Cricetulus griseus: one gene and its partners. The protein of the gene in region 1 purifies or fractionates together with the protein of each later gene. This does not show direct contact. Links are inferred from orthologs where the notes say so. Each region holds a gene or a part of one and is shown in the gene's direction. Other genes may lie near its edges.

Region 1 (3,746 bases):
CGGGCAGCCATGGGCGCTGTCTAGTGCTCTCCACCTGAAGCCTCAGCCATCACTCTCACTGGCCCGGGCCTCCCTTAAACGAAGCACCGGCTCGGGAAGAAGGGCGGCGGGTTAAACAAAAGCCGAGCGCCCGGCCGCTTTCCCGGCTCGCTGCGGACGCGCCCTGCGGCCTCTGACGCTGCGCGACTGTTTACAAACAACGCGCGGCCCGAGCCGCCGCCGCCTCCAGACCGAGCCCGGGCGCCTTCGCGCAGCGGAAGTGAGGGCGCAGCGCGCCGACAGCGCTTCACGCCGGCTCCGGGGACGCCCCGCTCCCTCCCCGGGCGTCCGCTCACCGGGCTGGACGCCGCATCCCTGCGCTCCGTGCCGCGTTCCCGGGCCAGCCGGCCGCCGCCGCCGCCGCTGGACGAGGAGCGGACGAGCGGCCGGACGAGCGCTCCGCTTCCGGGCCGCAGAGCCGCCATGGCCGGCGCGCGGCGCGATCGCGACAGCGCCGCGGTCCGCTTTACGGCAGCGTCGCGCGGGCGGCGGCGGGCGGCGCGGGCGAGGCCGACCGTGCGCTTTCCCGGAGAGCGGCGGCGGGCGCGCCCGGGGCGGGGCCCGGCCGCGTTTTTCCCCGGGCTCGGAGCTGGGCGGCCGGCCCCGCGGCGGGCGCCGCCTCGGCAACGCTGCGGAAGTGCAGGCGGAGGAGCGCGCGCGATGGCGCGAGCGGCCCAGGTGAGCGCAGCGCAGCGCGGGGGGGGCGCGGGCCTCGTTCTCCCCGCCGCCGCCGCTCCCGCGCGCCCATTGTGAGGTCAGGCGGCGGCGCGTCGGGCCCGGCCGAGACGCCCCGGAGCGGCCGCCGCGGCCAGTAGCTGCCGCCGCCTCCGCCGGCCCCTTCACCGGCCGCCCGGGTCAGACCTAGCCGGGAAGGGCGAGGGGGATGCCGCTGGGGGCCCCGCTCCGGCGCCGCTCCCCGTGACGGGCCGGTCTCCCGCCTCGCCGCCCTCCGCGGCCGCCAAGACCGCCGCCGCCCGCACCTCTCCGGGCTTGGACTGAGTTCTGTGGCCGGCCCGCCGGAAGTGAGCGGTTTGACAGAAACCTGAGAGACGGAACGAGCGAGCGAGCGAGCGTGGGAAAAGCTCTAAGCATGCTTACGGGGAGGCGAGTGACCCAGCTAATAACCGCACTTGTCACGCTTTCTGGCGGGGGCCCGGGTCGGGGCAGCAATGGGAGTCGAGGGGGGCGAGGACTTCGTGGAAAGGACAAGTCCGGTTGGGCCTGGGGCAGAACGGTGGCCCGGTGAGGAGCCCCGGAGAGCGCCCGATGACTTCCACAGGGGAGCCTCCCGCCCCGCCTGCCGCTCCCAGTCGTCCTCTAGGGCGGTGGGAGCAGAGGAAACGGGGTTGACGCGGATGGTTTGGCCTCCGTGAAAGTGTGTGCGTGTGTGTGCGTGTGTGCGTGTGTGCGTGTGTGTGTGCGCGCGGCTCACTTTGATTCCCAGGCCCAGACATCCACCCCAGACTGGACAGACTTCTCCCTGTTTTCGTTTTGCTTTTGAGTCAGGATCTCACTGAGTGGCCCGGGCGGGTCTTGAACTCCTAATTCTCTTCCCTCTGCCTCCCTGGCGCCGGGCGTGTTGGCACATTGTTTTGTGAAGTGCTTTCCCGAGAGGGAGTTAACATGTCACATCTCCTCTTTCCTCGAGTATGTCTTCCAAATCTATAAATAACGACAAAACCTTCCGTCTGTGTGTTTTGGTGCTTGCCCGGGTGCCAGAGTTCAACCCTGCCCCCCTCCCCCCAGACACACCATTTCTGTGGTGTCCTTCTACTTTGTTTTTTTTGAGGCGGGGCTTCTCATGGCCCGAAGCTCCCCAATCGGAGTAGGCTAGCTGGCCAGTGAACCACAGAGTCCACGCGTCTCTGACTCCTGGCACCGGTGGTGTAAGTGAGCACCATCTTGCCTGGCTTTTACGTTTTATGTGCACCGGTGTTTTGCCTGCATGTATGTGTGTGCATCACATGTGTGCCTGGCGCCTGTAGAGGCCAAAAGAGGGGATCAGATCACCTGGAACTGGAGTTACAGGTGACCAGGAGAGGCCATGTGGGTGCTGGGAATTGAACCCAGGTCCTCTGGAGAGCATCCAGTGCTCTTAACCACTGAGCCCTCTCTAGGGCCCTTGCCCTGGCTGTCTTTGCATGTGTTCTGGAGCTCCAACTGGAGCACTTGACTGACAGCTGTCTCCATAGCCCCAATTAATCCTTTAAAAAGTATGCCTTTTAAAAGTGAGTTTAAAGTGGGTTGATCTAACTGTCCTGCAGAGACTGTAATAAGTTACTCTTGCCGTCTTTCAGTGCTTGTGAAACTGAACACAGAAGTATGGATATGGGAAACCAACACCCTTCTATTAGTAGGCTTCAGGAGATCCAAAGAGAAGTCAAGAGTATAGAGCCTCAAGTGGTTGGCTTCAGCGGCCTGGCGGATGACAAGAATTACAAGAGACTGGAGAGGATTCTGACGAAACAACTTTTTGAAATAGACTCTGTAGACACAGAAGGAAAAGGAGACATTCAGCAAGCTAGGAAGAGGGCAGCGCAGGAGACAGAAGGCCTTCTCAAAGAGTTGGAGCAGAATGCAAACCACCCACACCGGATTGAAATCCAGAACATCTTTAAGGAGGCACAGGCCCTTGTGAAAGAAAAGATCGTGCCCTTTTACAGTGGAGGCAACTGTGTGACTGACGAATTTGAGGAAGGCATCCAGGACATCATTCTGAGGCTGACGCATGTTAAAACAGGAGGGAAGATCTCTTTGCGGAAAGCAAGGTACCACACCCTAACCAAGATCTGTGCCGTGCAAGAGATCATTGAAGACTGCATGAAGAAGCAGCCTTCCCTGCCGCTCTCTGAGGATGTGCACCCTTCAGTTGCCAAGATCAATTTGGTGATGTGTGAGGTGAACAAGGCCAGGGGCACTTTGATCGCACTTCTGATGGGCGTGGACAGTACTGAGACTTGCAGGCACCTATCGTGCGTGCTGTCAGGGTTGATGGCTGATCTAGATGCTTTAGACGTGTGTGGGCGTACGGAGATCAGAAATTACCGGAGGGAGGTGGTGGAGGACATCAACAAACTACTGAAATACCTAGATTTAGAAGAGGAAGCTGACAGTACACATGCATTTGACCTGGGGCAGAACCATTCCATTCTGAAAATAGAAAAGGTGCTCAAGAGGATGCGAGAGATAAAAAATGAACTTCTCCAGGCTCAGAGCCCTCCCGAACTGTACCTGAGCTCCAAGACAGAACTTCAGGGCTTGATCGGACAGCTAGATGAAGTCAGTGTTGAGAAGAACCCCTGCATCCGGGAAGCCAGGAGAAGAGCCGTGATTGAAGTGCAGACCCTGATCACGTACCTGGACCTCAAGGAGGCCCTGGAGAAGAGGAAGCTCTTCCCTAGTGAGGAGAACCCCCCACACAAGGCTGTGTGGGATGTCCTTGGAAACCTGTCAGAGATTCAGGGTGAAGTCCTCTCGTTTGGTGGAAACCGAACTGATAAGAACTATATCCGTCTGGAGGAGCTGCTGACCAAACAGTTGCTGACCCTGGACGCTGTTGACCCCCAGGGAGAAGAGAAGTGTAAGTCTGCTAGGAAGCAGGCTGTGAAGCTGGCCCAGAACATCCTCAGCTACCTTGATCTGAAGTCCGACGAGTGGGAGTACTGATGGACCAGGAGCTGCTCCTGCTGGTTCACACTTTATCTGCT
Region 2 (3,646 bases), on another chromosome or scaffold:
TAGTCGAGGCTGGCCTCCAGCTCACTGAGTACCCTAGGCTGATCTTCCGCTGCCTCAGTCTCTTGAGTGCTGGGATGTTGGCATGAACCATTACCACAGCTGGGATTTGTTTTTGTTTTTCAGGAGTACTAAACTAGAAAAAGGTGGGATCAGTGGAATGATGTGTTATACTTGTAGGTTTGGGGGTTTAAATGCCATCTTCTGTGTTCAAATACTTTTTCTACAATCACTGAAGCATAATACCCCAAGCAAGGAAGCCTGATTAAAAGACAAAGTAGAGTGGTGTTTCCCTTCTCTGTACTATTGCATGAAAACTTGGCTGCTTTAACTTTCATAAAATGATCACATTTAAGCTTTTTGATAGATATGGAAAATAAATCCATGCTCTTCTGAGTACTGAAATTCCTGGTGTGAGACATCTAGCTTCAATACTGTAATAAAACCGAGAGAAGTGTAGTTTCATGTCAACTTACCAGTTAATAGTAAAATAAGAACCTTAAGTGCTAGCCCTACTTTAATACTTGGACAAAAATATATTAGCCTTTAATTTTAAGGGGGAAAGCATGCCAGTTACCACTTGTAGTTTCTCTTCTTTGGATATTCTCTCCCATTGCTACACACACACACCAGTATCAGCAAGCAGATACTTAAAATATCTGGTGTGTGCATTTTCAAAATAGCAGTCTCATGGTGACTTTTGATAATATCTTCTCCCAGATTCTCTGGATTTGACAAGTCTTTTGATATTGATGTTTGTTGATGGCTCACTAAGCTCTGGCTGTAGAGGCCAGGTGTGCCAGGTTCCCATCAGCAAGGTGCTGTGGGAGGGACTTGGAGAGCTAGGAAGTTGTTATAGCTGTGCAGCAAAGGTAAGCCTTCAGAAGTGCCGAGTCATCAAGTGTTAGCCAGCAGAGGGGCGTTTCCATTGCCTCAAGTTTTCAGTGTATTCTTATCAGGCAGGGCCACTCCTTTCCCTTTGGGCCCCCCACCCCTGCCCCGCCCGCCCCCGCCCCGCGTTTCCAGAGGGGTTGTAAATGCAGTGTGAACTGAGTGCATTTCTTTGGACATTGTCTTAGCAATCCATCTTTTCAATATCCTATGAAATGGTGTGGCTGCAGTATAGTCAGTGGTGAGGGCGTGCCTAGTAACTGTATCCAAGGCCTTAGTTTCGCTAAGAAACTAAGTTCACCTAGAAATGGGAACATTTTGGGAAAAGATTGAAAACCCATATAAGAGATAAAAGATGAATTATATACATTCAAAATATTCTCATTTATTCAACATACATTGTAGGAGAAAGCATCACATGACATACAAATGTAAATGCGATTTAAACTTTGTTGATTAAAAAATTACAGCAATTTGCAAAAAAAATTACAGCAATTTGCAATAAATGTTTTTTGAAAGAATTAAAAGAAAATATACTGATAGTAACAGGGAATACTAAAAAAAAACGGGGGGGGGATTTCCCCCCAGGTTTTCAAAAATCTTTGTCATTAAGTACATATTTAAAATGAGGGGAAATGTGCTTTAAAGTAGTTGTCACCTTGATGCATACCCAGGTTTTAAGCTGATTCAGGGTGAGATTTACTGTGAACCTGAGCCTGTTGAAATGTGAGCCTCCCGAACCCTCCTGCTTTAGGCAAACAGTAACCCTTGGAATGGGATCTTACGTTTCACAATAAGAACACAGACAATGAGCTTTTACAAATAATGAATTATTAAATGTTACCAAAAACTAGTTAAAATCACTCTCCAGTCATTTACGTTAAAATGCTGCTTTTTTATTTTATTATAGCTTTTCAACCATGTGAAATTTCATATAGTGACCGCCCCTCACCGTTCAGATTGAAAGCCCCCTGGAATTTTGAAAATGACCCAAATTATTTGAAGACTTTAAATGTAAATACCTCATGGTTTAGTCCTGCTGTTGTACAGCTGGGTAACTTGAAATTGGAATACCTACAGTAAGTTCAGGGCTTTTCTATTTGTATAATTTCTTTAAGATGGGATACCTAATGGCTTTAATTATTTCTGTTGCCTCTTTGCCTGTGATGAAGTAAATGCATCTCTGGTTCAGGCATTCTGTGCTGAAATACTGGTTTGTTAAATCCACAGGAAATGAGATGGGAGAGCCAGAGGAAAGGGAATGGTTAACCATGGAGGAGGGACAGGCCCAGCACTTTGCCTAGAGGCCGCTGGGAAAGTGACGTCCTGTAGCATTTGCTGTTCTAGAAAGTGCAGAGACACGTAGTGAGAATGGGAGGGCCTAGAAGGAGGCCGTGTCTCTCTAGTGTGGGGTATATTTATCCGTAAGAGACGCTGCCTGCTGCCTGCTGCCTCCAGACAGCGGAGCCGAGTCGCTGATTGCTTTAACTTTTAAGATAGCCAGCTTGCCTTATTTTCTCAGAATCGTTGTATTGCTAAGACTGGAGACGCTGTTTTCTTTTACAAAGGGAAAGCTAAGTTCATTTCAAGGCATTCGAAATGGGGAAAGACTATTATTACATTTTGGGAATTGAAAAAGGAGCTACAGATGAAGACATTAAAAAGGCTTACCGAAAGCAAGCCCTCAGATTCCACCCGGACAAGAACAAATCCCCGCAAGCAGAGGAGAAATTTAAAGAGGTCGCAGAAGCCTATGAAGTACTGAGTGATCCTAAAAAGAGAGAGATATATGATCAGTTTGGGGAAGAAGGTAAGCTGCCCATTTCCCTTCCTTTGGCCCTGAATCTCACCTTTTTCTCTCTCAGCCTCCTGGTTATCTTTAAATTAGATCGGCAGGCATACCTGAAATAAAAAGGGAAATAACTGATTAAAAACAAGGTTTTATTCCTGATTATTTGAGTGAGCTATGAATGAAGTGTTCATGTTTGTTTTTTGTTTTGTCTTAAATAATATTGTATTATACATATTCTACTGTTAGACTTACAGTTTTAGCACCTTATTTTTTAAAAGAAATTTTAATTAAATTCCTGTGCTGAGGAATGAATTGTTTAAAAGTCTTATGCAACCTGCGCTTTTTTAAAAAAATGGATTCCCCCCCCCCCCAGAATTAATAGTCTTCAGTCACTTAAAATCTTAAAATTGTCAGTTCAAATTCTGGGTCCTTTATATTTTATTCAGAAAAACAAGAAGGGTTTTTTTTTTTTTTTTTTGCCTTTTTAGAGCAAAGCTAGTTGAGACTGAACAAGACAGAGTCGTGTGTCTTAGACACAGAAGGCACAGGCATTTAGCGTCTAGTTGTTTTTGGCAATCTGCCTAGAGAAGAAAGAATTTTCCTGATGTCATAAAATACCAGAACAAGTTTTTTAGCTTAATTGTAAACAGTGATTGAGTGCCAGGCAACAAGGTCTCAGAGTTTGGTTTTCCTTTTTAACCTAAAATGGCCACCTGGTTAGAACAAGGTCTGATTTTCCTTGAGTTAACTATCCTTTCTGACATTTTACTATCTATGTGAGAGGAAAGTGTGCACCCCCAATCTTCCCTCCCGAGGTGGGGGGCGTTCCCTCTGCCACACTCTCCCCCTGCCTTCTGAGACTAGAACTTAGTGAGTGAGCACAGGAAACGGGAGACCTTTGAGAGTCTCCTTTTATCGATGTGGACCCTAAACCAGGTTTGTCCAGCATCTCCATGAAATGTATGC
Region 3 (3,746 bases), on another chromosome or scaffold:
CCTGTCGCAGCTTCCTGGTGCTGGGATTACAGGAATGTTCCACTGTGCCAGCTCTCTTGTTATTTCTCTAGGTAACATTGAATATTTCCAAGTGACTGGTTCAGGACATCCTCTGTTGAGCTAAAGGATCCCCTAGTCCCAATTCCATTTTGGGGGCAGGGGCTCAACTGTGTTTAGACAGAGCCCTTTTCAGTTCTCTTGGGGTCAGTGTGGTCAGGAAAACCAGAACACACACATCCGGATAGACCACCAAGAGAAGGCTAAGGTCATCTTTCTCACAGGTCTCGGGCTGTCCAACGCAAGGTTCAGCAGAGGCTCAGACGCTGCAGGGCTGCCAGAGAGGAGGTGTCAGCGTCATCCACTAAACAAGACAATTAGTCATCCCTTTGTCCCTGGTTTTTCTTGAGCACTTTCACAGATGCTGAGTAACGTCAACTTCCTATATACAGCGGCCATTCCGATTTCATAAGTGAGCACGACTGAGGCCAGAACGGCTACTTTACCAATTCAAGGTCACACAGCCAGGAAGTACTAGGATCTGGAACGAAGCCTACTCTCTCTGGCTACAGAGTCAAGGCTCGTGCTCTGACTTCCAGGTAGTTTCTCTCCCTGCAGGAACCAAAACCGACTACCCCCGCTTCTCTAAGCCTGGCAGTTTCAGAAGCTCTCTCCCCTTTGCTCTCAGCTGTGTCCTTGACCGCCATCATCCAAGACTTAAAAACCCAAAGAGTCAATTAACAGAGGTGCTCTGTTCCCCCACAGCAAGAAGCGCCCACGTCAAAGCATTCGGAAATATTTACGAAGCACCTAGTGGGTCCTGAAAAAGATGCACAGCCACGAAGCAAAATCCAATGTCTGCCCTGGTGGTGAACTCAGACAGCAAAGTGAGTGACATCTACCCGGAACGCCAAGAACCCGGCTAATTCCTCAGCAGGAAGTAAGGAAGCCTGAGTACCCGGACTGGGGCGATCCCTCGCCAGACCAGCCTCACCTCGCTTTACAGTAACGGCCTGTACGGAGCAACCGGCAGGAGAGGGTGGGGTGCGGACTTTTATCCCTGGGTGACAGCAGAGGGAACTTGGAGGGACGGGTCGGGCAGCTACAAGTCACCGGGCAGGACCGCCCAGCCGGTCTTCACCTAGGGACAGGGTGCGGCTTCGGAAGAGACCCGCCTCTGTAGCCCCGCCCCCTCCCCACGTCGTCACCAGTCGGCAGTGAGAGCGGGCCGCGATTGGCTGTCTCCACTGCGGAGGCGGGACCTCAGGCAGGGGCGCGCGCGCCCCAGGGAGGCGTTGACCAGGGTAGAGCGGGAAGGGGCGTGGCCTCGCGCGGAAGGCCGTTGGCTGCCGGGTCCCACCCCGGATGTTCTGCGTCACGGAGCGGCCGGCAGCGATTGGCCCGAGTGGCGCGGCGCGCCGGGAGGGGCGGAAGGTTCTGGAGGGCTGGCGGGATCTGGAAGCTTCCGCCGGACGGGTATATAGAGTCCGGGACAGGGCAGCTGCGGAGCCGGAGGCGGCGACAGCTGGGCGGCGGTGGCCATGGGCAAGGACTATTACCAGACGCTGGGCTTGGCCCGCGGCGCGTCCGACGACGAGATCAAGCGAGCCTACCGCCGCCAGGCGCTGCGCTACCACCCCGACAAGAACAAGGAGCCCGGCGCCGAGGAGAAGTTCAAGGAGATCGCCGAGGCCTACGACGTGCTCAGCGACCCGCGCAAGCGCGAGATTTTCGACCGCTACGGAGAAGAAGGTACGCGTGCGCGCGGCCGGGGGTGACCCGCCGTTTGACAGGCAGGGAAACCGAGGCACTCGGGGCCTCTCTGAGGCCTCGGCCCCGCATCGACGGCCCGGGGATCCGGCGGCGGTGCCGCCTCCGCCCTCTGATCGGCGGCCTCAGCCGGGAGGAGGAGCTTTGGGCGCGCCCGCCGCTCACACAGAAGCTTCTAGCACGTCTGCCGCAGCCCCTCCCGGCCGGCGGGCCGGCCGCCTGCACAGCGCCCGAACGCTGCAGACGGAGGGCGGCGGTCGCGATCGCTAGGGTGTGAGATTTTGAAAATCGCCCGAGTGTTTGTTCCTCTGGGCCCGCTAACCCGCAGGCTCAGCGCTTAACCCAGAGTTGAGCTGAGCCTTTCTGGCCGCAGTGCGTAGGAACTTCTCTGTAAGGTGTTACAGCATGGCAGAGAGGATGGGGCTGTCAAGTAGACCTGGTGGCGCCGACAGCTGCAGGCCTTACTACCGAATTGTCACGAAGTGAAAGGGAGTAATGTGTTTCCTGCTCCTGCTGCCATTGGCAGTTAAAGACTTGAGATTCACCTAGAACAAACTTAAAAATACATATAACCCCTCCCACTACGGTTCCCAGGGCTTTTTTTATTAAAAGCAAAACTTGTTGAGCCAGGTGCGGGAGCTCACACACCCCACTTTGGAGGCTGAAGCATTGTTGTGAATTTGCTTCAAATCTGAGCTACAGAATGAGCTCCTGTTTCCAAAAGAGCAGGATGTAGTGACAATCCCAGGTCTGGTATGTCTGAGTCAGGAGGATTGCCTCTAGGCTAACCTGGACTATTCAGCAAGTTCAAGGGCTATATAACATGACAGTCACCGGATCGCACTGTGTAGTTCAGGCTTTTATTTTTACTTCTATATATATGGGTACGTGTATGTATGTATGTTCACTGTGTACTTGCTTCGAGAGAAGAGGATGTTGAATCCCCTGGAATTGGAGTTAGTTGTCTGCTGTTGTGTGGGAGTTGATAATCGAACATGGTTCCTCTGCCATAGGAGCAAGTGCTCTTAACTTCTGAGCCGTCCCCAATGCCTCGTGTTGGAGTCCTGGCTGGTCTGGAACTTGCAGAGATCAACCTGCTCCTGTCTTCGGAGTGCTGGGTTTCCAAGCATTCGACACCATGTCTGGGCTTTCTATTTTAAGGATTTTATGGGTTTGTTGGTGGGATTTTTTTGTTTGTTTGTTTTGTTTTTTTCCCCCGAGACAGGGTTTCTCTGTAGCTTTGGAGCCTATCCTGGCACTCGATCTGGAGACCAGGCTGACCTCGAACTCACAGAAATCCACCTGCCTCTGCCTCCCGAGTGCTGGGATTAAAGGCATACACCACCCAACGCCAGGCTTGATTTTGTTTTGTAAATGTGTTAATTTATTGCAGTGCTAGAAATGGAAACCAAGGGCCTTGACTCTCCTACAGTAACTCTGATTTCTGATTTTGTTTTCCAGGCCTAAAGGGTGGTGGCCCCAGTGGCGGTAGCAGTGGCGGTGCTAATGGTACCTCCTTCAGCTACACATTCCATGGAGACCCTCATGCCATGTTTGCTGAGTTCTTTGGTGGCAGAAACCCCTTTGATACCTTTTTTGGGCAGCGCAACGGGGAAGAAGGCATGGACATCGATGACCCATTCTCGGGCTTTCCAATGGGTATGGGTGGCTTCACCAATGTGAACTTTGGACGTGCCCGCCCTGCCCAAGAGCCTGCCCGAAAGAAGCAAGATCCCCCAGTCACCCACGATCTCCGGGTCTCCCTTGAAGAGATCTACAGCGGCTGTACCAAGAAAATGAAAATCTCCCACAAGCGGCTGAACCCCGATGGAAAGAGCATTCGAAATGAAGATAAGATCCTGACCATTGAAGTGAAGAGGGGCTGGAAAGAAGGGACCAAAATCACCTTTCCCAAGGAAGGGGACCAGACTTCCAACAACATTCCAGCTGACATCGTCTTTGTTTTAAAGGACAAGCCA

The links.
Region 2: the proteins of Bag5 (region 1) and Dnajb4 purify together in Homo sapiens (affinity purification with mass spectrometry; 4 studies listed by BioGRID and IntAct, with this or other methods). This does not show direct contact. The link is inferred for Cricetulus griseus from reciprocal best matches to the Homo sapiens genes BAG5 and DNAJB4.
Region 3: the proteins of Bag5 (region 1) and Dnajb1 purify together in Homo sapiens (affinity purification with mass spectrometry; 3 studies listed by BioGRID and IntAct, with this or other methods). This does not show direct contact. The link is inferred for Cricetulus griseus from reciprocal best matches to the Homo sapiens genes BAG5 and DNAJB1.

Annotation. Positions count from the first base shown.
Region 1 is NC_048598.1:182,323,082-182,326,827, forward strand, and holds the start of Bag5 (BAG family molecular chaperone regulator 5), read left to right. Parts: upstream 1-956; 5' UTR 957-1,129; coding exon 1,130-1,143; intron 1,144-2,336; coding exon 2,337-3,705; 3' UTR 3,706-3,746. Other genes in the region: cytochrome c oxidase assembly factor 8, read right to left, coding at 336-464. UniProt on the Homo sapiens protein: Co-chaperone for HSP/HSP70 proteins. It functions as a nucleotide-exchange factor promoting the release of ADP from HSP70, thereby activating HSP70-mediated protein refolding.
Region 2 is NW_023276806.1:7,154,182-7,157,827, forward strand, and holds part of Dnajb4 (dnaJ homolog subfamily B member 4), read left to right. Parts: intron 1-1,056; exon of another isoform or gene 1,057-1,967; intron 1,968-2,410; exon of another isoform or gene 2,411-2,456; 5' UTR 2,457-2,487; coding exon 2,488-2,698; intron 2,699-3,646. UniProt on the Homo sapiens protein: Probable chaperone. Stimulates ATP hydrolysis and the folding of unfolded proteins mediated by HSPA1A/B (in vitro).
Region 3 is NC_048596.1:160,786,805-160,790,550, reverse strand, and holds the start of Dnajb1 (dnaJ homolog subfamily B member 1), read left to right. Parts: upstream 1-1,435; 5' UTR 1,436-1,538; coding exon 1,539-1,749; intron 1,750-3,228; coding exon 3,229-3,746. UniProt on the Homo sapiens protein: Interacts with HSP70 and can stimulate its ATPase activity. Stimulates the association between HSC70 and HIP. Negatively regulates heat shock-induced HSF1 transcriptional activity during the attenuation and recovery phase period of the heat shock response.